Linked DNA regions of Rattus norvegicus. The protein of the gene in region 2 purifies or fractionates together with the protein of the main gene of each other region. This does not show direct contact. Links are inferred from orthologs where the notes say so. Each region holds a gene or a part of one and is shown on either strand. Other genes may lie near its edges.

Region 1 (7,509 bases), on a different chromosome or scaffold from region 2:
AGAAGGGAAGACCACTGCCGTCTAGTGCCCACCAGTGCCCACCCTCTTAATGCCTGCATTAGATAGGGTTCACTGTCTCTCCCTCTGCATCTGTGGTGGTCAGCTGTGTGGTGTGGGAGTATGTGGAATGGAATTAAAGTCTAAGCTCCGAGCTTGTGGCCTTTTGTCTTAGCTCCTGGTTGCTCTGCTTCAGAGCCCCTGGCTTCTCCACAGCTGAGCACACTGTGGCTGTCTTCAGACACACCAGAAGAGGGCGTCAGATCTCATTACAGATGTTTGTGAGCCACCATATGGTTTCTGAGAATTGAACTCAGGACCTCTGGAAGAGCAGTCAGTGCTCTTAACCACTGAACAATCTCTCCAGCCCTTTCCCTTCCATTTTTATAATGGTAGTTAGACCCCTAACTCCTCAGACACCGTCTTCTTCCTGCTACAGATTATAAATCTTATATATGATTTTTGTACATGAGATAAAATATATTTACATTTAATTCAATTTTTAAACTCTTACTTTATGTGATATGTTTATGTGAAGGAGAGATAGAATCCTCAGCGTTCTCTGACCTCATCTGTCCCCTCCCCCACCTTATTAAGGCAAGGGTCTCTAACCACTGAGAAGTGAATGTCAGGCTAGTTAGCCTCTAAGCCCACAGTGATTCTCCTTTCTGTTTCCCATCGGTTCCATGGATCAAGCACAGGTTGTCAGCTTGTATGCCCCAGGGCCTTGACCTGCCGAGACACGTCCTTGGGTCCCTAACTAAAATTGTAAATCAATAATTTTATTTGTTGGCTGGTCATGTTGGCACATACCTATAATCTTAGAACTTGGGAAGTAGAGGCAGGAGGATCACAAGTTTAGAATTTTCTGCATAGCTCAGGTGTCTTAATCAGGGTTTCTATTCCTGCACAAACATCATGACCAAGAAGCAAGCTGGGGAGGAAAAGGTTTATTCAGCTTACACTTCCACATTGCTGTTCATCACCAAAGGAAGTCAGGACTGGAACTAAAGCAGGTCAGGAAGCAGGAGCTGATGCAGAGGCCATGGAGAGATGTTACTTACTGGCTTGCTTCCCCTGGCTTGCTCAGCCTGCTTTCTTACAGAACCCAAGACCACCAGCCCAGGGAGGGCACCACCCACAACAGGCCCTCACCACCTTGATCACTAATTGAGAAAATGCCTCACAGTTGGGTCTCATGGAGGCATTTCCTCAAGGGAGGCTCCTTTCTCTGTGATAACTCCAGTTTCTGTCTAGTTGACACACAAAACCAGCCAGTATAATAGGCTAGCTCTAGACTCCTTGGCTTAGCGGTTCTCTTTCCTCAGCCCCGCAAGTGCTAGGATTACAGGCTCCAATCACAATGCCTACCTAATTATTTTCTCTTATTATAAAAGAAGTGTTCGGGGTTGGGGATTTAGCTCAGTGGTAGAGCGCTTGCCTAGCAAGCTCAAGGCCCTGGGTTCGGTTCCCAGCTCCGAAAAAAAGAAAAAGAAAAGAAAAGAAGTGTTCATACATTATAGGGAAAATTAATGCACAAACAGAAAGAAAAGAAACAATCATGAAGGCCCATTGCCTGAAAGAAAACCACATTACAGGGCTGGGCATGTAATTTAGTGACCAAAATAATGAGACAAAAATTTTAAAGAATAGATTTACAGAAAAACTGAGCAGAAAATCCCCAGGGTTCCCTTTACTAATGTTGTATATTACTACAATGTATCTGTTACATATGAACCACTAGTGATATGTTATTATTCAAGGTTCATATTCCACTCAGATTTCTTCACTTTTTATATAATGGTCTTTTCATGTGTCATGATCCCATCCAAGATACCACAGAACATTTTGTCTCATGTCCTTGGGCTCCTCTGGGCTCTGACAGTTTCTCAGCTTCTTATTTTTAATAATCTTGACAGTTTTGAGGAGAACTGGTCAGGCATGCTGTAGGATATCCTCTGTCGGAAGCTGCTGTTCTTCAGGGACTAATCTGGTCTTGGGAGGAGGTTTGGGCATGAGGGTCACAGAGCTACAAGTGTCATTTCGGATCCAGCCCTGGCATGGAGGTCTGGCACTTGGAGCTGAGGTGGAACAAGGGTTCAAGGACAGCCTAGGCAACACGGTAAAACCTTGTCAAGGAAGGATGAACGGACAGGAGAGAGACAGGGAAGGAGGCACATGCCCTGCAGTCCCAGCACCTCCAGATTAAAAGGGCACCATTGTCTGCTACAGAGGTAATTTCAGGTCAACCCGGGCTCCTGGAGACCCCAAATCAAGAAAATGAGAGAGGAAACAAATGTGTCACTGCATGTTAAGAATACATATTGTCTAGAGTGAGTTTCAGGACAGCCAGGACTACACAGAGAAAGCCTGTCTCAAAACAAACAAAACCCACCTGTATTGTCCTTGTGAGTCGCCAGTGATGTTGATCTTGGTCACTAACTGGAATGGTGTCCATTAGAAGGGACCCCATACACTCCAACTTGCCAAAACACGTGGGACAAAATTTCCCATTCTGAAGAATCAGGAATTATGTTCCTTTCCTGTTAACTTTGTTTATTTTTTAGCTTGTGCTATCTACATGGTTTGTTTAGAATTCTGCATGACGCATTTGCCTTTTCCCAGTCACTTATAACACGATGGACTCATGGCGTTTACTTTGGGATTATAATCTAATATTAATTTATTTCATTGTATTGGAAGCTGAAGTGATGGTTCTGTGATTGAAAGCACTGATTGCTCTTCTAGAGGATCCAAGTTTGGTACCAGCACCCACTTCAGGCTGCTAACAACCACCTGTAGCTCCAGTCTCGGGAGAAACAGTGCCCTCTTTTGGTCTTCATGGGCACTACACTCATATTATATATTATATAATATATGAGTGCAAAACACCCATACACATAAAATAAAAATAAATAAAGATCTCAAAAAATTGAACAAATTGGTCTTGTTTTTAATTATGGGTCTATGTGATCTCTGTGTATACACATGACTCAGGTGTCCATGAAGGCCAAAGGCATTGGAGCCCCTGGAGCTAGAGTCTGTGTGTGAGCTGGGAATCAAATTCGTGCCATCTGGAAGAGCAGTACCCACCCACTCTCAACCACTGAGACATCTCCCTAGCTGAATGTTTTAGCACTTTTAGGTATTATTTACTTTTACTTCTCTGAATGTGCACCACTTCTGTAGAAGTGTCTGTAGGCTGTGAGAGGGCATTGGATCCAGAACTACAGTCACAGGCACTTGGGAATGTCCTGATGTGAGCTTTGGGAACCAAACCCAGGTCCTCTGCAAGAAAGAGCACCGGATACTTTTACCCACCAAGCCATCTCTCCAAATCGTGTTTAAAAACTATTTTTAAAAATGTTTTCGAAGTGTGTGCATGAGACTGCAGAGGCCCGTGGAGGCCAGATGAGGGTGTTGGATTCCCTGGAGCTGGGGTGACAAACCGTCATGAGACACCAGACACAAGTGCTGGGGACCAAACTATTCCTCTGCAAAAGCAATGCACATCTTAACCACTGAACATCAATCCAGCTTCGTTTTTTTTTTTTTTTTTTTTTTTTTTTTGGTTCTTTTTTTTCGGAGCTGGGGCCAGCTTCGTTTATTTTGAGACATGGTCTTGCTATTCATCCCTCAGTGGTCTGGAACTGTGTGTAGACCAGGCTAGCCTCAAACAGGCAATCCGCCTTCCAAGTATGCAGCTAGGAAAACAGCTTTGTGGTATCATTTCCGACTTTGTTTTATTTATTTTTTAATTAATTAATTATATCTTTCATTTATTTGCCTTTTTTTTTTTTTTTTGAGACAAGGTTTCTCTGGGTATCCTCGGCTGTCCCGAAACTCGTTCTGTAGATCAGACTGGCCTCGAACTCAAAGCAATGCTCTCCTCAAAGCAATGCCTCCCTCTGCCTCCCAAGTGCTAAAACTGAAGGCGTGTGCCCGCACTGCCCCCAGCACGTTGGCTTCTTTGAGTGTCACAGAAAAGCCTTGGAATGTAGCCCAAAGGTAGAGAGAGTGCTTGTCTAGCATGAGAAGAGCCCTGGTTTGAACCCGGCCCCAGAGACAAAAAGTCACCTGCCACAGAACACCACAGGCGGTGCAGCCCACTGGCTTCGAGTCTCTTCTAGTATACTTCTTATCTCTTTGTTTTTGTCTTTATTAGGTTTTTCTCACTGGATCTCTGCGTATCCAGGCCCCCTCCACCATGGCCAGCCGGGGTGGGGGCCGGGGTCGTGGCCGAGGCCAGTTGACCTTCAACATGGAGGCTGTAGGCATTGGGAAGGGTGACGCTTTGCCTCCACCCACTCTGCAGCCCTCTCCACTCTTCCCTGTGAGTGTCTCCCTTCCCTTCCTAAGCCTTCCATGTGCCCTCATTGAATCCTTGTGAGCACAGAGTCCTCCTGGCCCGTCAGGAGCCATCCACACCTTGATTCTGTCTCTACAGTGACTTCCCATAGGAGGTGTTTCCCAGGCAAAGAAGTGTTTATCTTCACTCTTCACACCCTCCACGCTCCAGCTCTCAAAGTGCCCTCCATCTTTCTGGCCCTCCAAATTCTTACTGAGAACACTGGGTTTTACTTGGGGGACAGGTCCTTTAAGGTTGGACTGCAGCACTAACCACTGTGCTTCCTCAGCCCTTGGAGTTCCACCCGGTGCCTCTGCCCGCAGGAGAGGAAGGGGAGTATGTCCTGGCGCTGAAGCAAGAGCTGCGTGGGGCCATGAGGCAGCTCCCCTACTTCATCCGGCCAGCTGTCCCCAAGAGAGGTCAGTAGGAAGGCTGGGGCAGAGCCCGCTCAGCATACTGGGGGCCAGAGAGGCTTAAAGTTTACGTCTAATGGAGAGAGCATTAAAGTTCCGTCTGTGTCTGAAATGTATCACCTTATTGGAGATTTGAGCTGAACCTTAATCTTGGGGTTAGTGGGACATTAAAGCATTAGCATCATAGTGCAAATGTACAAATGGGGTAGTGGGGTACAAATGGATTTCCAATTCATCGATTGGAGAGACCTTGATGCTGGGCTTCTGCGTATCCTACCTGTGCAAAGCCTTCTCCCCTTCACTAGTGAGAGCAGGGGACTGGAGAAGGCAGGGCTGCTGGCAGGCTTGAGTGAGTGGATGTTTGCCCTGTGAGAAGTACTGCCAGTTGATGCCTTTCTACTGAGTCTACTGAGTCTGCTTCTCTACTGGGAGCTGAGGGCTCAGAGGTGGAAGACTTACTAAGCTAACCCATTAGTGAGAGGGAGACAGAAGACGGAACCCTGGTCTTTATTCCAGTGTATCCTGTCCCATGGAGCACACTAGAAGAGGATTCTGGACAAAGACAAGAGTAACAAAAAGGCAGGCTGGAGGAGAAATAAGGCTTCCACCCAAGTGGGCACCACTGGGCTCTGGGTTTAGAGTAAGGCGATCGATAGATAAAAGGGGTAACCCCTTCCATCAATAGATAAGAGGAGTAGACCCTTGGGAACAAATATTCTAAGGATAAAACTGTGACTCATGGGCTCTGACCCCCAGATGTGGAACGTTACTCAGACAAGTATCAGATGTCTGGGCCGATTGACAACGCCATCGATTGGAACCCTGGTAGGTGACTGGTCCTTTCCAAATGCCCTTCTTTCAGATGCTTAACATCTAAAAACAAGAGTCTTAACATGTGCTCTGCAACACTTTCTACTTGAAAACCCTATTTGTAACGATAGTGCCCACCTCTCCAGAGGCGTCCAGCCTACAGTTTTATTCTGAAAATCTTCAAACCAACCCCTTCCTTCCTGCCCTTTTTAATACTCCCCTTCCCTCAGTACCAGCCATCATTTCCGGAAACCCCTAGCCAGACAAGGTCCTAATGATTTTCACTTCCACGCTTCCCAGATTGGCGACGACTACCCAGCGAGCTCAAGATTCGAGTGCGGAAAGTCCAGAAGGAGCGTGAGTGAATCTGCAGCAGGAGGAGGAGGTTTCGTCAGCCGGTGCCATAATGACCACACGAGGGCAGCAGAGGGCCGCGTTTGCTGCAGGAGGGTGGCGTAGGCTCAGCTAGACTGGAGGGAGAGATAGATGGCTCAGCTGATAGACACCTGCCACCAATCCCTAGGACCCACGTGATGGAGTTGGAAGGACGGACTCATTCTAACGTCTGCCTGGGTGTTACACACACACACACACACACACACACACACACACACACACACACACACACACACACACAATTTAAAAGCCAGAAAGAAACCTAGTTATGATATGTGCTTCCTAAGGACTCACTTTTTGATCCTCCAAACAGGGACCACCATTATCCTTCCCAAGAGGCCCCCTAAGAGCACAGAGGATAAGGAGGAGACGATCCAGAAACTAGAGGTGAGAGGGAAGTGTAATAGGCAGCTGGCCTCAGGGTCCCTTAGAGCCTCACTTCTCCCTTCCTTCTCTGAGTGTGAGTTTCTCTTCCTATTCATCCTCACATGAGACTCTAGAGAAGAAGGAGGAGGAAGTGACTTCAGAGGAAGATGAAGAGAAAGAAGAGGAAGAGGAGAAGGAAGAGGGGGAGGAAGAGGAGTACGATGAAGAGGAGCATGAGGAGGTGACAGGCACTTCTGCCCCTCCCCCCCTCCCCCTTCTTTCTCCCTCACAAGTTTTGGGCTCACAACTCTAACCCTCTCTCTCCCTCTCTCCCTCCCTCCCTTTCTCTCTCTCTCTCTCTCTCTGTCTGTCTTTTTTTTTTTAAGATTTTGTTATTGTTTTAGTTTTGGTTTTGGTTTTGGTTTTGAAACAGGGTCTCCACTATGTAAGCCAGGCTGGCCAGGAACTCCCCAGAAACCCCCTGCTTCTACTTCCTGCAGTTGGGATTACATGAGTATGTCTCCAGACTTGGTATTCTCCCTAACTCTGGGCTCTCAACTCTTACACAGGAGACCTTCTCAGAGAGTTGCAATGCTACCAAAAGGCTTTTCTCCAGTTCATCTATCCCTGGCCTATTCTCAAAACACATAACATGGTGGAGTAGATGGCTCAGAGGGCAAAGGGGCTTGCTACCAAGCCTGATGACCTGAGGTCAATCCCCAGAACCCACAAAGTGAAAGAAAAGAACTGACCCCTGCAAGTTGTCCCCTGACCTCCATGTGCACCAGGGCACACATGCACACACATATGTAAACACACACATATACAGGCAAACAATCATTTTAACTTTTATAATATGGAGCTGGAGTGATGGCTCATGGTTAAGAGCACAGGCTGCTCTTCCGAAGGACTCAAGCTCCACTCCCAACATACACATGGCGGCTCAGAGTGACTGTAACTCCTGTTCCTGGGCATTGGATGCCATTTTCTGGCCTCTGAGGGCTCCAGGCGCACAAATAGTATATTCATGCATGCAGTCTAAACACCTATACACATAGAAAGTAAAATACATTTACAACAGTGGGCGGGGCTGCCCCAGACCTGGAAAGGTGTATTTGGGAGGGAAAGATCCTGGAAACCAAGAGGAGAAAACTCTGAAATCATTCCTGGTCTTTGCTT
Region 2 (6,321 bases):
ACCAGTTGACTATGTATGTAGAGTTGGGCTGGAAACTGGGTTCCTAAGAGTGGACCTCCAGTTAACTAGGTAGATACCCTGGGATAGGCAAAGATCAGAGAGCTACCTGGGACAATCTAGATACTGGGCTCATAGGGCTAGCCTGGATTAACTAAGGTCAGACCAGTGCTAGGATTTACTGGAAACCTTGCTTAGGTCTGGAGCTGCAGAGGAATGAAAGGGAAGGCCACAGGGTCATGCATGGCATTGGATAGGCTTGGAACATCTTCCTTGGTACCCATGGCTAGCCATGTATCAGTGGGAGCCAAGTGATGCTGGAGATGGGCCTGAATCATATAGGATCAGCCTGATTCTGGCGTGAAGTCCTAAATCAGCACTGAATGAACAGTACCGAATGAGTGTTGGCTTTGGGGTCCAAAGCAAAGGCCAGTGCTTACTTCCTGGTTCTTTCTGTGAGTTTATTTTTCACACAGACTGGGGCTAAGGAAGGTGTGTTGTAATACTGTGTTCCTCTTTATTAAGTGTTGTATGTTGGGTTCTAAGATCTGTAGTGTCCTTAGCTCTTATGAAGTATTTTTGCTTGTGGATAGTTAACTGAGTTGATGTTTCTGTGGAAGGAAGGAGCTGAGAGGTGGAAAGTGCTGTTGTCGCTGTTGTTACTGCTTTTCTTCAGCATCCCATTCTTCCTCTCTTAAGTTCACTCAGCTTTTGGAATTCAGTGTTGTTTTTGTTTTTATCTAATGCATGGCCTTAGATGCACAGAGACTGAACTGAGTCAAGTTCTTCCTATATGGTCTGTTTCAGCTGTGCCAGCCCACATGAGGGCTTCCCCTTTCAAAGGGCAAAGGACCCTAGAATATGGTAAGGACATGTTCCTCATTGGTTTGGTAACTTTTTTTTTTATTTATTCATTTATTATATATAAGTACACTGTAGCTGTCTTCAGACACACCAGAAGAGGGCATCAGATCTCTTTACAGATGGTTGTGAGCCACCATGTGGTTGCTGGGAATTGAACTCATGACCTCTGGAAGAGCAGTCGGGTGCTCTTAACCGCTGAGCCATCTCTCCAGCCCGGTTTGGTAACTTTTAACTGAGTTAACAGCTCATATGTGTTAACAGTTACCAAGAGCCACCCTAGTAATCGATGTAATTAACAAATGTTCATTGGAGAGTACATCCCTGATTGACGCCTTACTAAATTATACTAAAGGGTCTGATATTTCTTCGAGAGAGGAGAGCACAGAGCATTATTTCAACCCTTGGCAATTAGTGACTGCGCTGCACAAGATGTGCTAGAGCAAGAAGTCTTAACTAGGTGGCAGACGTCATCTCACCCAGCCTACCTCACCTTTTCCCTGTCTTCTAGGACTATATGATCTGGCATGTTCACCACAGCTGAAGTTTGGCAATCCGGCATGTAAATCATGGCTCTGAGGGGTTTAGAAGTGTAAAATACCACATTCTGAAGACTTAGGTAAAAAAAAACCTTTATTACATTTTGATTTAAAATATTTGGGCCTGAAGTACATTAATATCTACTTTTAAAACTATTTTAATGTAAGTACTAAAACCTTCAAGGTTAGTCAGCTCTCACATTCCCACAGGAGGAGTACTAGCTCCCTTCCCTACTTAAGAAGCTGGTGTTCACTTTCCATCCTCCTTCCCTTCCGCTTGCAAGTCTGCAGCGAGCTAAGGCCACTCTGTGACTGTCCCTGTGTGTGTGGCGGCCTCAGCAGTGTGAGCAGACCAGTCTTCAGACCAACCTTGCAAGGTCAAAGTGAGTATCACCTGGTGTGATGGCGTCATGGTCTCCCTTCTCTCTCTGTACTGAATGCTTAGACAGCACAGAGGACATTTTCTTCCTGCAACTATTTGAGGACAGCAGCACCATGATGCCAGTTTAGTGTTAGCATTTATTTTAAAAATACACAAAATATAATTTTTTTTACATCAAAGTGATAACCTCGCTTACACACTGTTCCACACTTACCTGGTTCCATTTGCACCTTTATGCAAACAGTAGGAGACGATGGAGTTAATAGAATGTTTGCTATGGTCTGTGTAAACAGTTGAGACCGCTACAGAAAGCAGGCTGCTGTATAAGGTAAAGTGGCCTTAGAAACCCAACAGTAAAATGTTCAATTTGGTTTAATAAAATTGGCAGAAGTCTTAGCAGAGAGAAACTCTAAGACTAATTATTAGCTTCTAGGCATTTTAAATATTAAAAACCTTAAGGTTCTCTTCATCTTGTAAACATAACTTTAACTATGTTGGCATTCATTTAAAAGAGGAAAATATTAAACCATGATTTTCATAATCCTGCCCATGTCAGTGTACACTCTCTTTATTATGAGAATGAAACCCAATAAGCAAAATACATCAGGAATTTCAAATTGTACTGCAAAGAAGGCCCGGCTGGTCTCTGTTGGGAGCGATCTCACTTACGCTGACCCTGCCACTGGCTGAGTGTGAGCCCCTCTGTCCTCTGGGCCAGGCAGTGCCACAGGCCACCAGGTGGGCAGATCCTCTTCCTGTGTCTTGAGGCAAGTCGAGACTACGTGTGGCTCTGCCGTCCTTCCCTGGGCTTGGGTTCGTTGAGTTAGTGGTTTGCTACTATTGTCAGGATTGTACTGTCCCCTTAAGGTACCACATGCCACCACAGCTTACACAACAGTCCTAGAAATTAAGAAAACTGGGTAAGGGCAGGTTCCGGCAGGAGAGAGCTATTGCTGTCACAGCCTGACTCACGATTAGCGGACAGAGTGCAAACAGGACATCAAAACCTGCCTAAGTGTGCTGTTGGGTAGCCGCTTTGACCCTATCGGGTTTCCAGCCACCATACCTCAGGGACATTTTAAGATGTGTTACAGATTTTGCTGTATCAACAGAAAAAAACTTTTCAAGTTGACTACGACAAGGGACATATTAATAAGGCCTATTGTCTACATGACTAAAGGTAACAGGGAATGGGGCAGTGGCTTTCTGTGCCCACCTCTACAATGCACACAGTTCATGAGAGCATTCAAAGTGTTTTCACATTAAGCAAACAGAAACTCCTCTTTGTCGTTGTTGTTTGGAGGCACGGTTTCTCTCTGTAGCCCTGGCTGTCCTGCAACTCACTCTGTAGATCAGCCTGGCCTCAAACTCAGATCTGCCTGCCTCTGCCTCCTGAGTGCTGGGATTAAAGGTGTGCGCCACCAGTGCCAGGCAGTATCCCTTTTTTTTTTTTTTTCTTTTTTTTCGGAGCTGGGGACCAAACCCAGCCTAGCAAGCGCTCTACCACTGAGCTAAATCCCCAACCCCCAGTATTCCTTTTTTAATTAAAATTAAAAAAAAGATTGTACTGTCAATTATACAAGTGGGTGCAAGATGATGTACACCTCCTCATACCCAGTCCAACTCTGCGGCATGAAAAGGCTCACTTTCCTGCCAGGGTACCAGTGCTAGTCACTGCCAGTTGATGGCCATCAGACTGGTGGGCACTAGGGCTAAGCTGTTCTGATTTACTATATACACAGCGGGAACAAAGATACCAGACACAACCTTTCCACGTATGTGTGTCCTTAAAACAACAGGTCAAAGTCACAGCCTAGATGCTCTGCGTGACATCTTGTGCACAATGGACATACCTTTAGCACTTTATCCACCTCCTGCTTGCTTAGCTCTTCTCCACATTCTTGAGTCAGCCGAGACTGGATCATATTCCGACGTACTCGGTAATTTTTGGAAAATATTTCAAGCAAAACCTGTCGATGCTTTATTTAATTTAAAAAAAAAAAGTGTTAGTTCGATAGTGATAGTATCCCAAATGTGAACTATCCCCAAACAAAAGATCCAAAATGATGGCGCTGGCCCCACCTTGCAGTGTCTAGTGGCTTAGCACTCCTGGTTAAAGATTAGCAAGACCGACCTATTGGTCACTGTTGCAGACTTCAGTGAAGGAACTCAGGATGAGCAGTTTGGACATACAAGGAAGTGAGCAGAAGCATCTAGTTTAGACTGGGTGGGGGAAAGGTATCTAAATTGGTTCAAAGTCTAGACACAAGCATAACACTGAATCCAGGAAACTGGAAAATGCACCAAACTCCTAAAGAGACATTAAATAGCAGAGGACAAATAAGGCCATCCTCAAAACAGAAGGGAAGAATGAAAACTGACTGCAGAGGGTGATGACTCACACACACCTCACAATCCCTGTTGGGAAAGGGGCATCAGCATGAGTTCAAGGCCAGTCAGGGCTACAGTGAAAAATTCTGGTCTCAAAAAATGGGCAAAGACGACATCTAGTAGGTTTAATAGCTCAAATGTCTATAAGGATTCAAAAAGGTAAAGAAATTTATCAGCCTACAGGATTCTCTAAGAGCCCAACTGTCTAGTAAATAAAGAATTCAGAATACATCAAGGTCCTACCAGTGTAGGGAACAATATACGCCATGCAGTTTGCAGTTAAGGGAAGATCTCACGAGAAGAGTATCACTGAATTTCAACTTTGAAATGATTACGATACCCTCTTCCTAACGGGGGGAAATTATTTGCCCTGTAAAATTTTAGTTCTATTAGTACCAGCAGTACTTGAGGGCAGAAAGAAAGAACGCTGTCGATATCCCATCAGAGGCTAAGACTCTAGACACAGGAAGAGCCACACATGGAGAAGCAGTGTCCTCACATTCCACAGGAGTCGTGCTGCTGGTCTGCTGGGGTCAGAACAGCAGACTAGTGCACAGAGGAAGTGAGCGGTGAGATGGCTCAGCAGAGAAGGTGCCTGAAGGCCTGAGCTGGCTCTCTAGCCCCACATGTTGGAGAGGAAGCAGTAACTGCAGCATGAACATGTTCTGTGCACTAGCATGTGGTAACCACTGATCGGCTCACAGTCACAAACAATCGGTCACCTCTGAGGGCAGAGTCAGCTTCCCCACAGTTCTTTAGGCCCTGTTCAGTTTTAAATGAACTTACTACTTTTTTTCCCTTAGTGATCTGAGAAGCTAAGTAGGAAAGCCTCAAGCTACCTTTCTTGGCCAAAAACAGGGTCACTTCAGGACTCCTGTTAGAAGCGAGGCCTCATACCCACTCTTGCTCTCAGCCTTCCTGTCCCCCTGGCAAGTAAAAGGGAAACAGGCTTCAACAGGATTCACTCCTGTCTCAACCTGACTGGCATGTCTGCTAAAACCAAAACACTTTAATCTTTGGAATTCAGGCAAGTTCATGATTTAAAGGCATCTGGACCTCAGCTCTTTCCCAGAGCTGAACTACCCAAACACTGGAGACAGGATCGCAGAACAAAATAACCAAACTCCAGGTTTAAGACAGCTAATAAAAAAGCCACTGAGAACTCTCCTCTGCACGTGGTTTCCAAGCCTGCCTGCATCACTATCATAGAGCTCTAAAGCTCAGAGTGAGGCCACCATACTGCTGGAAACAGTCATCTTTTCAAAGGTGATACTGTTCTAATTCGACAGACATCCACCCAAGTTCAGGGGCAAACCACTGGCACACATGGCCTATCTTGGAGTGACTGGAAAACCTGACATGTCCAACTATACTCTAGTGTCAAGATTCTAATAGCCTCAACCTTCTAGGACTCCCGCTCTTAAAAAAGAAAGACGACAAAAAAAAAAAAAAAAAAAAAAAAAAAAAAAGGCACCTCACCTGGTCACTCATGTCTCCAGACTCCCAGAGGGCAAATACCTTCTGCTCATCAGGGGAAGCAGCAGTCTGTGGGGGAAACTGGCCCAAGCATGAGCTGGTCATTTCTCTGCCTTGTGATCTGCTGCCCTGCCCACTTCAACCCACCTAGCCTGCAACCCAGCCCTAGGCAAGAGCGGTCGAAGCCTAGTTCTCCCACTCACTGGCTCTGAGATGACAGTGCGACAACAGGTATTGGGATGGCATTAGTGTGTGTGATGCTGCTTTGAGGCATCTACCTGGACTTCTACTCTAAAGTCTCCTCTTCCCTAGCATTCCTCAGGGCTTCCGGTCAGCTGTTTCCCACAAGGGCAGCATAAGAAGTGTGGCTAAAACAGGATGTTGGCAGACTCCCAAGCCTTTTATACCACTTGCTTCAGGGGCAACCAGAGGATGACAGTCCTGGCACTTAAAAAGATCAGGGAAAATGCCAGCATTGTGCCTATAGCCTCCTTTCTGTAGTTGGTACTAGTGCTCACTAACACATAAAGACTGGCACAGGACTTGAGCAGCACTGAGGCGTCGCTTGCCCTGCCCATTCGCCATATCAAGTTCAGAGCTGTTCACTGTCTACAGGTACTTAGCTCAGAGTAGTAAATCACAAGTTAAACTCGGGTCTTTAACTTGCCTTTTCTT
Region 3 (8,052 bases), on a different chromosome or scaffold from region 2:
ACGTCTTCATGTGCTACACAAAATCCTTTCTTTTTAGTATTTCAACAGATATCTGAGGGTCCAGTTGTAGAACATACCATGAACCCTACCTAAGATGAACAAAAAAACCAGCCCCTGACCCCTATTACTTTAACCCCAAACATTGTGTTCTTCAGATTAACCATACGCACAGCAGATAATGTCACATTCTACAGCCATAAGCATTTAGGATGCTCCCAGAGAGAGCCTGTGCCAATTCCTCTGACACATTCTAGGCAGAAATGATTTTAAGTTCCCACATTACTTTGTTCAAATTACTTTCCGGTAGTGGACTAAGAAGTATACAGCCACTGAGCAACTTTGGGCAAGAAATGATCCCTTTCCTCAAAGTTGCCAAAGCGGTAGACACTGAGTAGCTAAATGTTTATACAATGAAAAGGCTCAAACTTGAAGATTAGAGGAAAAGAACACAGACTTAGTGGATGGACTAAATTAAAAGCAATGTGACTCTAGAGCTGTTCTGAGTTGGCCTACATTTGACCCCTTTGGGAAAACTCACATGGAATTTGGACAGGCTAAAATGGCAAAACCTTCTTAGCTCTGGCTCAACAATGATCTGCAGGCCAAATAGGACACTAGATTCCCCCAGGTTCCTTCTTTACCTGCCAAAGTCCTTTTTTCCGAAGGTGTGGGGGAGGGAGGGTGTTCAAATCTATCAAAGCAAACAGGATTGACCTACTGAGATCCAACTTCGTCTGTGCTGTGTCACTGTACAGGCTAGAGAAAAAGCAAATTGTGTCCTGGGAAGGAGGCCAATTTCTAAGTACTGTGACTACAAAGAATGTGACATTCTTAAAGTGAAGGCAGTTTGGATAAACTGGAGCTCACAGAATCCTCCAACTATCCTTGCCATTGGTTTCTGTGATTTTATTTTTAAAGAAAAATTGGCGGGGTGTGGGGCGCACGCCTCTCTAACCCAACAGCACTCAGGAAAGAGGTGGATCCCTCTGAGTTCCAGGCTGGCCAAGGCTACAGAGAAAAGAAAAATTGATTCGAAAAAGCCACGCGGAAGCGTCCTTAGGCTCCTGGCAAACACACAATCTTAAATGCAAACGGAAATACTAGAACACTCCATTTAAAAAAAAAAAAAAAAAAGCCCTTGTGTGAAACGTGGCAGAAAGCTTTCAAAAGCCAGCGATGTTTTTCCCCAAGAGGTGTTTTGTGCGCAAATGCTTCCAAATCGGGATTCATATTTTGGAAATTATACCCCCACGCTCCCAAACATGTCAAATCTGAAGAGAAAGGTGAGACTTCCCCCGCAACAGGCTGGGGCGGGGAGGAGGGTCTCTCTGCTCATCCCTTCCAGGGAACAAAACCAAAGGGCAGCTGGCTAGCGCCACTCTAGCTCCCGACAACGTGCAGACGCGAAGTGCAACAACTCGTCCTCAAACGTCCATGTCTTGAGAAGCGAGAGGCGCGCAGAACCGCACCGGGTCTCCTGGAACCTGCACCCGCACCGGGCCGGGCCAGACACCACGCGGCCCCCAGCGGTTCCCCAGATGGTCCCCCCTACCCTGACGCCACACCCCGTCACCGCCCGCACCTGAGGCGAAGTAACTCACTGACGGAAAGCGGCGGGCTCCCCGCGGGCGCGCTAACGAGGACGCTACCCGGCTCCGCTCTGCCGGGACTCACCGCCGCCGATTTCCTGGCGAGAAGCAAAGTCCGGCCAAGACTTTACTTCTCAACCGCCCCTGCTGCCTTTCCCCTCGGGGGCGAGCGCAGAGGCCCAACCCGACACGCACCTGAGCCAATCAACGGCGGGCGAAGGCGGGACTAAGAGCGGGCTTGGAGCCGCTCGACCAATCAAGGAATTCTAGGGGCCGGGTCGGCCCTGCTCATCACTCCCGAGTTAGAGTGAGCGCGTTCCGCCCTCCGCCATCGCTCCCGGCCGGATTCTCCCCTCAGACACACAGAGAAGACGCTCGGGAAGTGTCTGCGTGCACCCCTGGAGCGCCGCGCCTGGCGTGGGACAGCTGAAGGGAGGGGAGGGCTGCGGGACCAGGCTGAGGGAGAACAGGTGGCGCGGGGCGGCTGACGTGTAGGTGTGCAGGGCAAGAGGACAGCTGGGTGGGGCGGGGATCCAGCCTGGCCAGGGTCAGGTGGGAGAAGAGAGGATGCACCTGAGAAGGGCGGTTCCTTGGGTTCAAAGGGAAAAGGAGCTGCAAGTCCACCGCGTGAGCTCCGGAGGAAGGAGGGCGGTGCTCCAAACTCTCACTTCTCTCCCAAAAGAAAGACAAACGCTGCCCTTGCACCTATTGGAGATGTACATTTGCACCCCTGGGAGAAAATAAAAAGCCCACAGTATCGTCAGGAAAGTCACCTCTGCACACTAGTCTCTCTGCTTTTTCAAGGTTGCAATATGCTGGGTGCCCCAGGAAAGGCCCCTGAGGACTCCGGTCCCGGGAATAGCCAGCCATGGGGCAGTCCCGTTCCTCGAGACTCTAGCAAGTCAGAGATCCGACCCCGACGCTAAATAGCAGATGTCTCGGGGCAACAGGCGAGAAGCCTGTGATCTACGGTAGCACTCGGGGACAGAATGTGCACCGCAGCCGCCTGGCTTCCGCAGTTCCAGGTGAGCGGTCCAGCCCGAGCCTGGGCGTGGTCGGGGGCGGGTTCTGTTTTAGCCCCGCCCTTCAGAGGGGGCCCTGCCGCGCCGCTGCGGCTCCGCCTCCCTCCTTCCGTCATCCGCTCCTTCCGTCGGTGGTTTCTTCCTTCCTGCCTTGTCCCGCACCTTTCGCGACATGGGGAAGATCTTCCTTTTCGCCAGCGCCACCTGAGGATTTCCCGGAGCCGCCCCCCGCGATGGAGGACGATCAGGAGCTGGAGAGGTAAGGTTGGAGGCAAAGAGTGGAGTGGGGCGGCGGGTCGGGCCAGAGAAGCGGGTAGCGAAGGGGCACGCGGCCGACTGAGCCCGGCGTGGCGGCTAGGCCTGACCCCAGGCGCTGGGGAAGGGAGGAGAGAGAATAGAGCGGGCCGGGTTGGGAAGAGGGAGGAGCCGTGGGTTCATTTATAACAGAAAAGCCCAGAGGGACGCTAGCCATCCGGGATGGGAGAGAGGTAGGGAATCCAGCTGTAAGTCCCAAACTGCCACCACCCTCATTAGAACTGCCTCGTGTAAGGTCACGCACCGGGCCAGCCGTCCCGAGTGGCGGTCCTGGCGTGTTAAGTTAGCTAAAGTTACTGCAACTCCGCTCTGTGCAGACTGCTCGTAAATTCTCTCTGTCCGCCAAATTCTCCCTCCTATTAAACTTTTCACTTCCTTTCACTTAGTTTCCTTACCTCTTTCAAACGGAAGCTGTAACTGAGCCTGCCACCCTGATACCTTGTGGTTGCCATTTTTATGCTAAAGTAATCGTGTTTTTTATGCCTGTCAACTCCCTTTTCATCTAAAGCAGGGCCTACCCTATTATAACTCTGCCCCTTTCTTTGCTCTATCCGAAGATTTTTGCAAACAATTAACTTCGTGGGTTGTTTTTCTTTTGTTTTGTTTTTTTTCTGAGGTGGTACCCACCCCCTTGCTGGAGTCAAATGAAGTAGGGAGAAACGAGTTAAATATTTATGGCTAGAAGTGTGGAGGCAGGAAAATGAGGCAGTGAATCTTTAAGAGTTAATCAGAAAACGATATTCCGTATGATCTCATTCTTACACAAAAAAATATGTGTGTAGAAAAATATCAGGATTGAAGACCTCAATGGCTGAAGGCGAGAGGAAGACAGCCCTGGAAATGGTCCAGGCAGCTGGAACAGATAGACAGTGTGTGACATTTGTACTACACGAGGAGGACCATACACTAGGAAATTGTCTGCGGTACATAATCATGAAGAACCCGGAAGTGGAATTTTGTGGTTACACTACGACCCATCCTTCAGAGAGCAAAATTAATTTGCGAATTCAGACACGGGGTGCACTTCCAGCTGTTGAGCCGTTTCAGAAAGGCCTGAATGAGCTCTTGAATGTCTGCCAGCATGTGCTTGTCAAGTTTGAGGCCAGCGTAAAGGACTATAAAGATAAAAAGGCAAGCAAAAACGAACCCACGCTCTAGTCCCTCGTGCAGGGTACAAGCAGGACCACCCTCAGGATGGTACAGAGCCCAGAACTAGAATTGGTGACTACAGCATGTTCTGTCCTATAGGAAAATGTGGCTCTAGCTATTGACCCATTACAGCTTTTGGAATCTCTGCAAGTCTGTTTGCCTAATAAATTCTCGCTTTTGTTTAAACTAGTTTGAGTGGTTTCTCTTCCTTGAACCTAGATGAACCCCCAAGGATGGTGTCACCCCTTAATTGAACCAACACTATAAGTGAACAGATGTAATTGGGCCGAGTCAGAGGTTGTGATCACAGATCTTAAAAAGACTATTTCTATATGATCGAGATGCTGTGGGAAGGAGAGGTAAAGTAGAATGAGGTCCAGGACACTATGATTTAAAAGGCTGGAAAGAAGATTGGAAGAGGGACTTGAGGTGGTGTTTGTTTTTACATTTTCCTTGTATGTGCACACAAACATGCCGTGGTACATGCATGGCAGTCTGTTCTCTCCTAACGCCATATTGGAGCCATTTGATGATTGTTGGGCTTCACAGCAAGCACCTGTACCCACTAAGGCATCTCCGGGCTGTTTTTTTTTTTTTTATTAATGCAAATGCTTCTTTGATATGATTAGTAGACTACCTTAAGGATGAAGATAATGTGAAGTACTCCTCGGAGTTTTAATTTCGCAAGAGAATTTGAATTGGTATCAAGCTCCATCTTCGTAGCTTTTGTAGGATGTCAATTTATTGCTTGAATTCCAGAACACTAATGAAATATGTAGTCACGACATGAGTAAACCAGTTTTTACTAGGTTTCGTGCAGGCCTGTTTGTGTGGATATGTATGCATGCACATGGAAGCCAGAAGTTAACCTTTAGTTTGGTTGGTTTTAGGGCACGTTCACCAGCTAGCCCCGGCTGACTTGGAATGCACTTGGTAAACTTGCCCTTGCCCTAGTTTCTCACATATTGGGGTTAAAGGGGTTTGTCAGTTAGGCTAGGCTACCCCAGGAACCTATTTGTTATCTGTCTCCCGAGCATTGGTGTTGGAAGCTTAGCCACCCTGCCCAATTTCTTTTACGTAAGCTCTGGAAATTAAAATCAGATCCTTAAAGTTTGTGGCAAGTGCTTCAGCAACCGAGTTGTCTCTCCAGCTCCAACTTTAATTATTGGAAAGACTGGAATTACCAGGTAACATTTTTAGTCTTTAGGTAGGAGCCCAGGGTTACATAGAAGAGATAACATTTGTTAGAAAGTCAGGATTTGGAGGAAGAGAATTCTGTACAGAAGAAATGACATTTTGCAGAAGAAATGACATTTTGGGAAACTAACAATATTAACAAAACTTTTCACATCCCAAGAGTCATCTGGTTTATCTCTTTAATCGTTTGTGTCTTGTAAGTATTCTACCCAGGCGTGACTTAATTCACTCTAAGTATCTGTCACTCCTGAGCCGAGTCACCTCTTGCTCTTGAGCTTTGGGATCTTTGGTGATGCTTGTCTTCAGTCAGAACTCCACTTTCTGCCAGGGATGATGGTGCATGCCTGTAATCTCAGCATTAAAAAGATGCAAGCAGGAGAATTACAAGTTAAAGATCCAACTGACTTGAATAACAAGAGTTTGCCTCAGAAAAACAGCACCAACATACATACATGCTTTTAATCCCAGCACTCTGGAGGCAGAGGCAGAGGCAGAGGCAGGCAGCTCTCTTAAGTTTGAGGCCAGCCTAGTCTTCAAAGTGAGATAGGAAGTCCAAGGCTACATAGAGAAACTCTGTCTCAAAAAGTCAAAAAAAAAAAAAAAAAGGAACCTTTAGGTTATATTTGACCTCTTGTACCCTGCCAAGTGCCTATATTTCCTAGACTTGACCCACTTTTTAAAAAGATACTTTTGTACTCACTGAATGCCTGCATTGTACCAGGCCTTGAAAACAGATAACAGTGGAAACTTGTTTTTGTTTTTGGAAGAAGGGTTTCTCTGTAGTCCTGACTGTCCAGGAACTCACTTCAGACCAGGCTGCCTCCCACATGGTGGGATTAAAGGCATGAACTACCGCTGCCTGGCTTGGCAGTAGGAATTTTTTTAAATGGAGTTAAAAAAACAAAGTTTTAAACAAATACAAGGCCAGATAGAGAACTTGAGAAGTGTCTGCTTTGAACACAGAAACCAGGGAAGGAGTTCCAGAGATCGTAGGAAAAGAAGAGGCTATGCGGAGTGGAGAGCAAATGCACACTTGGGGGGAAATGTGAGCTCCTGAAGCAGAAACTAAAGGTTGGAGAACTTAAAGATTTCTATGGTTTAGCATAGCAGATAAGGAGAAGGGCCCATCTTCTTGATTCAGTGAGGAAAAGAGCTGGAGTGCTGTGTTATTTCCATTACAGAGTGGGATGATGGGGCAAATTGTAGCAAAACCAGACCAGAAGTGGCCCAAAATGCTGATAACACGGACAATAGGGAGAAGGGTGAAGTCCTAGGAACAGGATGTCAGATAGAGAACCAGATGTTTCCATCTCCTGTCTAGGTTCGAGGCCAATTACTAGGACAAGGAGCTTAGAAGTAACTTGTGTTGTGAGGGTTGCGGGCCCTGGGAGAGATACAAGCTGAAGGTAACCATGTGAGTCCTGATCATAAAGATGTAAGTCAACAGAGGCTGGAAAGTGATAAGGAAGGGGCCGGGAAGCAAGCCTCAGGCAACCTCAGTGTTAGGTAGAGTATATACCTGATGAGACAGTAAATTCTGCTGTGGAAGATGCTGAGTAAGTCAGCCCTATGACTGGGGAAGAAAAGGTCCTTTGAAATTAGCCCAGAGGCCACTAGGCTGTGGGTCGAATTCATCTGGGGTCTAAGGAGAGGACTCTGCTGAGGAATGACTTGGTTTGAGTTTTCCAAAGATAAAATAGACACGGCCCTTAGAGTGGTATGCTTAGTTGGCAGCAAGGATGATGACAGTTCAGTTAGGGCGGAGAAGAGTGAAGAAAACCAATGGAAGGTGTAAGAAAGTCCAGTTAGAGGAAACAGTGTATCAACTGGTGACCACCACCGGATCTCACAGTTGGATCGCAATAAAGGGTTGTCACTCATCCTGTGGCATGCAGTGTAAATCCATCTAGGGTGGCCATAAACAGGCTCAGATAAAAGTTCATATAGATGGCAGATGGGCTCAGGGAGAAAATAGGCTCATCAGGAGTGCCACATGTGTGGAAGGAACGGTGTGCAGTCTGTGGGAACTAGAGGGCTGAGAGAGCTCGGGGTGTTGGTGTGCCCTCTTAATACCTGCAGACAGAGGCAGGTAGAACTCTGAATCTGAGGACAGCCTAATGTATATAGTGAGTTCTGGCCCAAGGCTATGAAAGAAAGGGCAGAAGAATGGGGGTGACAGACTTGTACTTGAATCATACTTGCTTATATAAACTGAAAAATACCCCCACTACCTCACTGGTGAGCTAATGACGTTGCACTCAAACCACTGCAGTGTTAAGGATTCAAGATCAGAAGTTCTGTTTGGCTGTAAAATCCTGTGTCCTCTAAAGAACCAATCATTAAACGAGATGCCCATACACCAAAGGCTTTTAATATCTAATAATTCTGCATATCTGGCCTAGCACTTGCCACTTTCAAAGCACTTTACAGACTAGTTCTAAATTACATATAGCAGTAGCATCTAAGTGCCCTGATTAATTAGCATAATACAGGTTCGTGTGGTATCTCTGTAGAGAATAAAAAGTCTACATAAAAACTTATCCATTGGGGTTGGGATTTAGCTCAGTGGTAGAGCGCTTGCCTAGGAAGCGCAAGGCCCTGGGTTCGGTCCCCAGCTCCGAAAAAAAGAACCGGAAAAAAAACTTATCCATTTAGTTGTGACCCAGAGCATCTTGCATTCCAAGAGATAGGAAAGAATATTGGATTCTTCGGCCCATGATTGATTACCTTCTTCTCAGTTCATTTATTAAGGTTATTGTCTCCAGCAGGGGAGGAAAAGA
Region 4 (8,177 bases), on a different chromosome or scaffold from region 2:
AAAGACCAAATCCAAGACTGTCTGACTAAGAGGAACTTTATTTTAGGAAGGTGCCCAGGACCGGCTGCACAGATGTCTCACATTCTGCAGAGAGTTTTGTGAGGTTCCTTTTATGGGTAACGTTAACGTTAATAGCAAATAGGTGTAATGTGTGACAGAGAACACTGGCTGTTAGAAAACATACAAAAGGCAGAATAGAAGAATATATATCCGGTGGAAGAAGAGTCATACATTACGGGGCAAGGGACTACAATATAGATGGAGATTTCTTGACAACATTTGTAAGGCATGGGGTCATGAGTTCAGTGCATGTTCTGCAGGGTACACTAGGTTTAGGACACAGAAACTTATCCAATGTGGCTCCTGTTCTGGCTTCACCCCGTTCTGGCTTTACACTGTACTCATTTACATTTCCCATCTGCACACCTGTGCTGTCTGTTGTGGTGAACACCGTGGCCAAAGCATCGTAGGCAGGAAGGGGTTTATTTTACTTCCATTGTTGAGGGAAGCTGTTCTACTGCTGTGAAGCGACACCATGACCAAGGCGACTCTAATAAAGGAAAGCGTTTAACTAGGGGCTTGTGTACAGTTTCAGAGGTTTAGTCCATTATCATCATGGCAGCTTGCAGGGCATTGGAGCAGTAGCTGAGAGCTACCACGTCCAACAGAGAGATGGGAGGGAGGTGAGAAGGCGGAGGGAGGAGGGGAGAGGGAGGGGGAGGGAGAATAACTGGGAGGGGAGGGGGAGGGGGAGGGGAGAGACCTGGGGGAGGGAGAATAACTGGGAGGGGAGGGGGAGGAGAGGGAGGGGAGGGGGAGGAGAGGGCTGGGAGAGGGCTGGGGGAGGAGAGGGAGGGGAGAGGGCTGGGGGAGGGAGGGGGAGAGGGCTGGGAGAGGGCTGGGGGACGGAGGGGGAGAGGTAGAGAGGGAGGGGGAGAGAGACAGACAGACACTGGACCTGCAGCTCTGGGCTCTTGAAAACCTTAAGCCCCTGTGACACATTGCCTTCACAAAACCACACCTCCTAATCCTTCTAATCCTGTCAAAGAGTTCCATTCCTTAGTGACTAAAGATTTAAATATATGAGTGTGCAGGGATAGGGGGCAGGTGGGGGAATATTCTTATTCAAACTACCACAGGAACTTGGAGCAGAAATCACAGTGGAGTGCTGTTTGCTAGCTCCTTCTCCACCCTCCCACATTGGCTAAAATTCAAGACAACCTCCCACAGACATGATCACAAACCAATCTGATCTGGGGAATCTCTCAAATGAGACTCTGTCCCCACAGGTGACTCTTCTTTGTATTGAGCTGATACTCAAAGCTAACCTACACAGAACCATACTTGAGAGCTCATATTAATATCAACAACCTACATGTATCCAAAACGTGGCCTCCTGGTTGTAGTGTTCTACTGAATTTTTACAAGATCAAACAGTGTGGTCAACATAATCTATATTATGTCCTCTGATCACTTTCCTTTGAAGGAAAAGAAAAAGGAGTCCTGAAAAGGCAGAGGGTGGGGTATGGTTCAGGTACCACACATATCTCCCTCACCTCAAATTACTCCTGACCTGCGGGGACTGACCCTGAACTTGGCTATCTCACTGCTTCGCTTTCTGAGCGATGGGAGTACAGGTGTTCTATAAAAGACCTTAAAACAAATGATCCTCAGGTTCCAGCTTCTCCTGCTACCCAAATCTATTTAAAACAAAACTAAACAAACCAGCCATGTGCCTTCTTTTATTTCCAACGTAACAGGTGGGGTTTCTCTTGCTCTTGGAAAATGATTGATAGTCATTTCTGCTGAGACAGTAGGAATTTCAAACCTTGCTCTTTCTTCTCTTCTTCCTCCTTCCCTTCTTCTTTTCTTCCCTCTCCCTTTCCTTCTTCTCCTTCTGAGAGGATATTAAAGGTCATCAGAGAATCTCCCCACACAAAACTTCAACTGGCCATATTGCTGATGCCACAGCCAGGAGATGGGTCAATAATTACAGGTGTTCACATCCAAGCTTTCCAACTTGAGTTCGATCCCTGGGGCCCACATGGTGGGGAGTCCTGAGTTCCACAAGTTGTCCTCTAACGTATACACAAACTATGGTATGCAGGCCTACATACATGCACGCTCACACACGTAACTGTAACTAAAAAAGACACCAAATTTAAATGTCATCACGGTTAAACTAACTGAACTGCTAGAAGGTAACACAAGCCAGACAGTGCTGCCCAGAGAGGGCCTGAGTCAGGTAAGATCAATCACTATCCATTTGGTGGTATTTTAAGAAGATGTTGTTCGAGTTGGGGATTTAGCTCAGTGGTAGAGTGCCTGCCTAGCAAGCGCAAGGCCCTGGGTTCGGTCCTCAGCTCCGAAAAAAAAAGAAAAAAAGAAAAAGAAGACGTTGTTCACTGATCCTGGAGCTGATTACTTTGGCTAAGCTAGCTGGCCACTGAGCTGCTGGGTTTCTCCGGTCTCTAGTTCTTCAGCACTGGAATTATAGCCACAATCTACCATGCCTGGGCTTTCATGTGAGTGCTGGGGTCTGAACTCTGGCCCTTACGTTTGCGCAGCAAGCACTTTACCAACTAGTCCTCTCGACAGCCTGCACACTTCATTATAAAATGAGATATGTATAGATATAGACAACCTTTTTGTTCTTCAACAGTTTTATCCATTCTCCAAGAATGTCATCAAAACCCAGGGCCACCCTTGACCTACAACCCTAACCCTTTATCTCACTCTTAAAGGGGACTTTTTAGAAGCCTTCTGGGGGCTGGGGATTTAGCTCAGTGGTAGAGCGCTAACTCCGAAAAAAAGAACCAAAAAAAAAAAAAAAAAAAAAAAAAAAAAAAAAAGAAGCCTTCTGGTTCCTTGGGCCTTTGGTTCACCATCTAGTCTTTTCTTTTTCCCTTGGACGAATGGCCATACGGGTGAGCAAATAAGACTTTGGTTACAGTCTCTGTCATACGGTCCTTTCCTCATGAGATTCTTCCACCCTTCCTCTACCCATAACCTCCGGTATTACTCAGCTACACTTGAGCCACAAACACCCTTCGGTTCTTTAATTCCCCTTTGCATTTGGTGATGAGGTTTCTTCCTCTGTTATTTAAAATACAGTATTCATGCTATCTTTCTTTTTTTTTTTTTTTTTTCTTTTTTTTTTTTTTCAGAGCTGGGGACCCAACCCAGGGCCTTGCGCTTCCTAGGCAAGCGCTCTACCACTGAGCTAAATCCCCAACCCCTCATGCTATCTTTCAAGTGTTACGTTAATTTTTACTTAATATTTTCTTGAACGAAATGACGCTTAAAGTTTTTTTTTTCCTTCTTAGCCAATAAAATAAAGGGTGGAACGCCACCTTAGTCCGTTAACCTTAGGATCTTAACAGATCCTGGCTTGGGATCCCACGTCATTACGCCCCTGGGAACTTTGCCGTTCCCGGGTCCTACCTTACCCTTATCAACCCTTTCTGGTTCCCTATACTCCTGGTCACTAGTCCAAAGCCATTATTGGCACCTACAGTACAGCATCTATAGTCCCTGTAAGTCGGATGCTTAGAAGCCAGTCTGGTGCCCAAAGCGCGGTTTGGCTATTCCGGCCAATTGCAGCTCTAAACTCAGAGAGGCCGGATCGTCCGACCAATCGTAGCCCTATACGCAAGAGGGCGGATTTTTCTACCAATCACAGCCCTTAATGCAGCGAGTCCGCAGCCCGCAGGCCCATCTGTGAGTGGTGGGCGTGGCTGAGGAAAGATGGCGGCGCCCGCGGCTCCTGCCGAGCCCCAGGCTTCCGGGGCTCCGGAGCTCCCCGTGTGTCTGTTGGTGTTGGGAATGGCGGGATCCGGGAAAACTACCTTTGTACAGGTGACGTGCACTGTGTGGAGGCTGTAATGGCGCCTCAGGCCCGAGAGGAAGTTGTCTGGGGAATTGGAGGGTCTGGGCGCGTGGTTTTCTGGGGGCTGGCCTCTGACTCCAGGTCCTTCCCGAAGCCTCGAACCCTAGCCTGGGTCACTTGAGGCAGTCTCCTGCGTAGCCTTAGTGTATGCTTGGTACAGCTGAAATAGTCTTGCTGAGAATTGGCAGCTCTCCGAAGACCCAGGCAGGGGGAGGTAATGCCAGCATCACTGGTTTTGCGTGAAGAGTCGTGAAAGAATCACTTCGTTTGACCTATCATGTTCTAAGCTCTTGAGTATACAGCGGCAATGATATCGACATGGTTCTTGCTTTCACGGAGTGAATGTCTTAGTAGAGGAGACAGAGAAGGAAAAGAGGGTCAAAGTTAGCGAAGACGTGATGGAGGGTAGAGATCAGGTACTGGAACTAGATGGCTTTTAAACTGAGAGTTTAGTGTTGAGGGAAGAAGGAGATTGTTATAAGAATAGTCAGAAAGGAATGGGAATTCTCTGGGCCCTTTCCTGTCCTTTGGTCATCAAACTTCGACCCTGCCGCCGTTTTTGCAGAGGCTCACAGGACACCTGCACAACAAAGGCTGTCCACCATATGTAATCAATCTGGACCCGGCTGTGCATGAAGTCCCTTTTCCCGCCAATATTGGTGAGTGCCTTCTTTAACTAACTATCTGCTTTTCTGTGGATTTGCCTGAGTTCCAGAACATGCTTCTTGCTTATTCAGATTTATCTCTCTCTTATGTATCATTCTCATTTACCCCCTCTCTTTGTCCTCAGTGCCACCTGACACATGAATCGTTTAGTTTCTTTTGTCAGAGTTTATGAGTTCTGCTATAATTCACTCTGATCTGTAGAAAGGTTCCTTCCATTTCCAAAGTTATGGGTGTGTGTGTGTGTGTGTGTGTGTGTGTAAAAATATGCGTTGTTGGGGTTGGGGATTTAGCTCAGTGGTAGAGCGCTTGCCTAGCAAGAGCAAGGCCCTAGCAAGGCCCTGGGTTCGGTCCCCAGCTCCGAAAAAAAGAAAAAAAAAAATATGCGTTGTTTTGAGGAGAGTGTTCTGCTTGAGACTATCAGAAAGATTTAGTATTGGTGTGATCCAAGGAAGCCTGAGGCAGAATATTGAGAGTTGAGTCAGTCCAACTTACATAGCTAAACCTTGTTTGGAAAAGAAAAAGTGGGGGTGAGGGGTAGATTTATTATGAAAGTGCCTGTAATCCACTGACAGGGCTCTTGGGGGTCCAGAGCCTGATTCCCAGGTCTCTTGCTAATCCTATTAAGCTTCTTATACCCCATATACAAATTAGGAGGTGGAAATCTTGTTTAAGAATCATAGATTAGTCGGTCCCCAGCTCCGAAAAAAAGAACCAAAAAAAAAAAAAAAAAAAAAAAAAGAATCATAGATTAGGCCAGGCAGTAGTGGCTCACGCCTTTAATCCCAGCACTCAGGAGGAAGCCACATGCAGATCTCTGAGTTACAAGCCGGCTTTTTCTATAGAGAGAGTTCTAAGACAGCCTGGGCTATACAGAGAAACCCTGTGTTGATAAACAAACAAGAACAACAACAACAACAAAAATCATTGATCATTTTGGAAAGATTGGGCAACAAGTTTTCTATTTAAACTAAAGGATAAAAATGTAATATTGTTCATCTAGTGTCTAGGGGGTAGGTTTGTTTTTATTTACTTTCATTTTATATGTATGGGTGTATCTGGTTCCTGCAGAGGCCAGAAGAGGGATGCAGAACCCCTGGAACTGGATCTACAGATAGTTATGAGCTGCCATGTGGGTGCCGGGAACTAAATCTGGGTCCTCTGTAAGAACTTCAAGTGCTCTTAATCTTTGAGCATCTCTCTAGCCCTGGCAGATAGGAGGTGGTAGATCTGAATAGACAGTTTTATTGTTCCTATGTCTACGAATTGCCTTCATTACCATGCAGCGGCTAGTAAGTTTTCTTTTCTTGTTTTTATTTGTTCATTGGTTTTCCTGTGCATGTGCCCACTACCATTGAAATTGTCTAAAACTTGTAATCTTATTTTAGTCTATCATAACTAAGAGCTTCTGACCTTTTGTTTGTTTATTTGTTTGTTTGAGACAGGGTCTCTCTGTGTAGTCTTGGCTGTCCTGGAATTACTCTAGATTAGGCCAGTATTGAACTCAGAGGTCCATCTGCCTCTGTCTCCCGAGCCCAAGGATTAAAGGTGTGTGCCACCAGGCCCAGGAGTCTAACATCCTTCATAGGATACTTGGCAGTTATCCCTAGTCAGGAAGAAAGTGTAGAGGAGGGTATAAGCAAATGCTGGTAAGATATGGTGACACTTCTGTATAGCCTCAGACTCGGAAGGCTGAGGTAGGAGAACAGCTTGGGTTACTTGGGAGGTTCAAAGTCAGTCCCAACAAATGAGGTCATGCTTCAAAAAATAAAGGCAACCATTCTCTCTCTTTCCCCTCAGATATTCGAGACACAGTGAAGTACAAAGAAGTCATGAAGCAGTATCCTTTTTCTCGTCAGCAGTCATGGTGAACTGCTGCCTTTCATTGCTTTGGGGGAGAGGTTTTACCTGTCAGATTGGGACAATACAAGCAAACTCACTTCATTTTCAGTAATCATATTAAGAGGACATAAGATGAACAAGATGAGTGTAGGAGAGATCAGAGATTTCAATAATACTTCCATTTTCTTAACATAACTCGGATAGCCGAGAAGATGCATGGCCAGCTGTTGACTGCCTGGGCCTGGGGAAGTGATATTGCCTTGGGTCATACAGTCATCGGTTAAAAAGTTACTCACAGGAATTTAGACCAGAAAACTTTTTTTTTAAGATTTATTTATTACAAGTGCAATAAGTACACTGTAGCTGTCTTCAGACACACCAGAAGAGGGCATCAGATCCTGTTACAGATGGTTGTGAGCCACCATGTGGTTGCTGGGATTTGAACTCAGGACCTCTGAAAGAGCAATCACTGCTCTTAACCACTGAGCCATCTCTCCAGCCCATTGAGTTATATTCTTATGGGTTAATTTCAGCATGACAGCCAACTCTCTTTAAGTAACCTTAGGAGGGTTGCTTGCCTAGTGAGAATCAGGATAAAGAGTGTTACATGCAGCCCTGGCTGGCCTGAACTCAAGAGATCTTCCCACCTCTGCTTCCTGAGTGCTGGGGTTAAAGGTATTGAGCTTCCACACCTGGCTACACAGATGATTTTAACTGGTGATGCCAGCAGTCTGTCACTGTTTGACGTGTGTAGTCGTTAACTTTTAGTCACACTATTGTCCTTACCTTGTGTGGCCAGTCCTAAAACGAGAGATCAGCAATGAGAGCCTTGCTAATAAACACTGGGGTTGGGTGGTCATCAAAGCCTGGGTTGCCAGCACCCGTTCGTTAATTGGACGTCAATACCATAATGCGTTGGATGGATGACAACCAAGTACTAACTGTATAATCTCATACGTGCAATTTAATCCGTAACCGAACGTTCAGATATGGACTTGGGCCAAACGGCGGCATAGTGACCTCCCTCAACCTCTTCGCTACCAGGTTTGATCAGGTATGACATCACTTACGTTCACAGACCTGACGCTGTGAAATTCTGACTCTTCACATGCCGTAGCTTGATCACATTGGTAGAAGAACAGCAAAGATGACGAGATACCAAAAATAAGCAGGTGTTTGTGTAGGCCAGGAAATAGCCTATGAATGGCTCGGACACTTCACATTTTATGCCTGTGAGAAGACAAAAATCCAAAAGACCTGGGTTCTTTCTCTGGCCCTTTATCAGCTTATGGTGTTACCCTGGCCAGGAATTGAGGATAGGGCACGGTGATCAGCTACAGCAAGGAATGGGGACATACTCGTGCCTTTTCTCTTGACAAGTATTTGTCACCCTTTCGGTTTCCTCCACCACTTACTGTCTTAGTTGGGGTTTTACTGCTGTGAACAGACACCATGACCAAGGCAACTCTTATAAGGACAACATTTAAGTGGGGCTGGTTTATAGGTTCAGAGGTTCAGTCCATTATCATCAAGGCAGGAGCATGGCAGCATCCAGGCAGGCATGGTGCAGGAGGAGCTGAGTTCTACATCTTCACTGAAGGCTGCTAGCAGAATACTGACTTCCAGGCAGCTGGGAGGAGGGTCTCATTGCCCACACCCACAGTGACACACCTACTCCAAGAGGCCTCACCTCCAAACAGAGCCACTCCTCGGGCCAAGCATCTACAAACCATCACACTTACTTCCATGGGAGGGGGTTATAATCATTGTAATCTGATTCTGC

Evidence for each region.
Region 1: the proteins of Polr3e (region 2) and Polr3gl purify together in Homo sapiens (co-immunoprecipitation; 5 studies listed by BioGRID and IntAct, counting the BioPlex papers as one, with this or other methods). This does not show direct contact. The link is inferred for Rattus norvegicus from reciprocal best matches to the Homo sapiens genes POLR3E and POLR3GL.
Region 3: the proteins of Polr3e (region 2) and Polr1d purify together in Homo sapiens (affinity purification with mass spectrometry; 3 studies listed by BioGRID and IntAct, with this or other methods). This does not show direct contact. The link is inferred for Rattus norvegicus from reciprocal best matches to the Homo sapiens genes POLR3E and POLR1D.
Region 4: the proteins of Polr3e (region 2) and Gpn1 purify together in Homo sapiens (affinity purification with mass spectrometry; 3 studies listed by BioGRID and IntAct, with this or other methods). This does not show direct contact. The link is inferred for Rattus norvegicus from reciprocal best matches to the Homo sapiens genes POLR3E and GPN1.

The regions. Positions count from the first base shown.
Region 1 is NC_086020.1:186,801,851-186,809,359, reverse strand, and holds part of Polr3gl (DNA-directed RNA polymerase III subunit RPC7-like), read left to right. Parts: intron 1-4,162; 5' UTR 4,163-4,204; coding exon 4,205-4,330; intron 4,331-4,634; coding exon 4,635-4,764; intron 4,765-5,514; coding exon 5,515-5,583; intron 5,584-5,868; coding exon 5,869-5,925; intron 5,926-6,277; coding exon 6,278-6,351; intron 6,352-6,457; coding exon 6,458-6,571; intron 6,572-7,509. UniProt on the Homo sapiens protein: DNA-dependent RNA polymerase catalyzes the transcription of DNA into RNA using the four ribonucleoside triphosphates as substrates. Specific peripheric component of RNA polymerase III which synthesizes small RNAs, such as 5S rRNA and tRNAs.
Region 2 is NC_086019.1:184,921,123-184,927,443, reverse strand, and holds the end of Polr3e (DNA-directed RNA polymerase III subunit RPC5), read right to left. Parts: intron 5,728-6,321; coding exon 5,650-5,727; intron 3,759-5,649; coding exon 3,633-3,758; intron 2,680-3,632; coding exon 2,623-2,679; 3' UTR 1,906-2,622; downstream 1-1,905. UniProt on the Homo sapiens protein: DNA-dependent RNA polymerase catalyzes the transcription of DNA into RNA using the four ribonucleoside triphosphates as substrates.
Region 3 is NC_086030.1:13,112,827-13,120,878, reverse strand, and holds the start of Polr1d (DNA-directed RNA polymerases I and III subunit RPAC2), read left to right. Parts: upstream 1-2,809; 5' UTR 2,810-2,844; coding exon 2,845-2,870; intron 2,871-8,052.
Region 4 is NC_086024.1:30,680,565-30,688,741, reverse strand, and holds the start of Gpn1 (GPN-loop GTPase 1), read left to right. Parts: upstream 1-3,730; 5' UTR 3,731-3,747; coding exon 3,748-3,858; intron 3,859-4,454; coding exon 4,455-4,548; intron 4,549-6,352; coding exon 6,353-6,392; intron 6,393-7,381; coding exon 7,382-7,448; intron 7,449-8,177. UniProt on the Homo sapiens protein: Small GTPase required for proper nuclear import of RNA polymerase II (RNAPII). May act at an RNAP assembly step prior to nuclear import.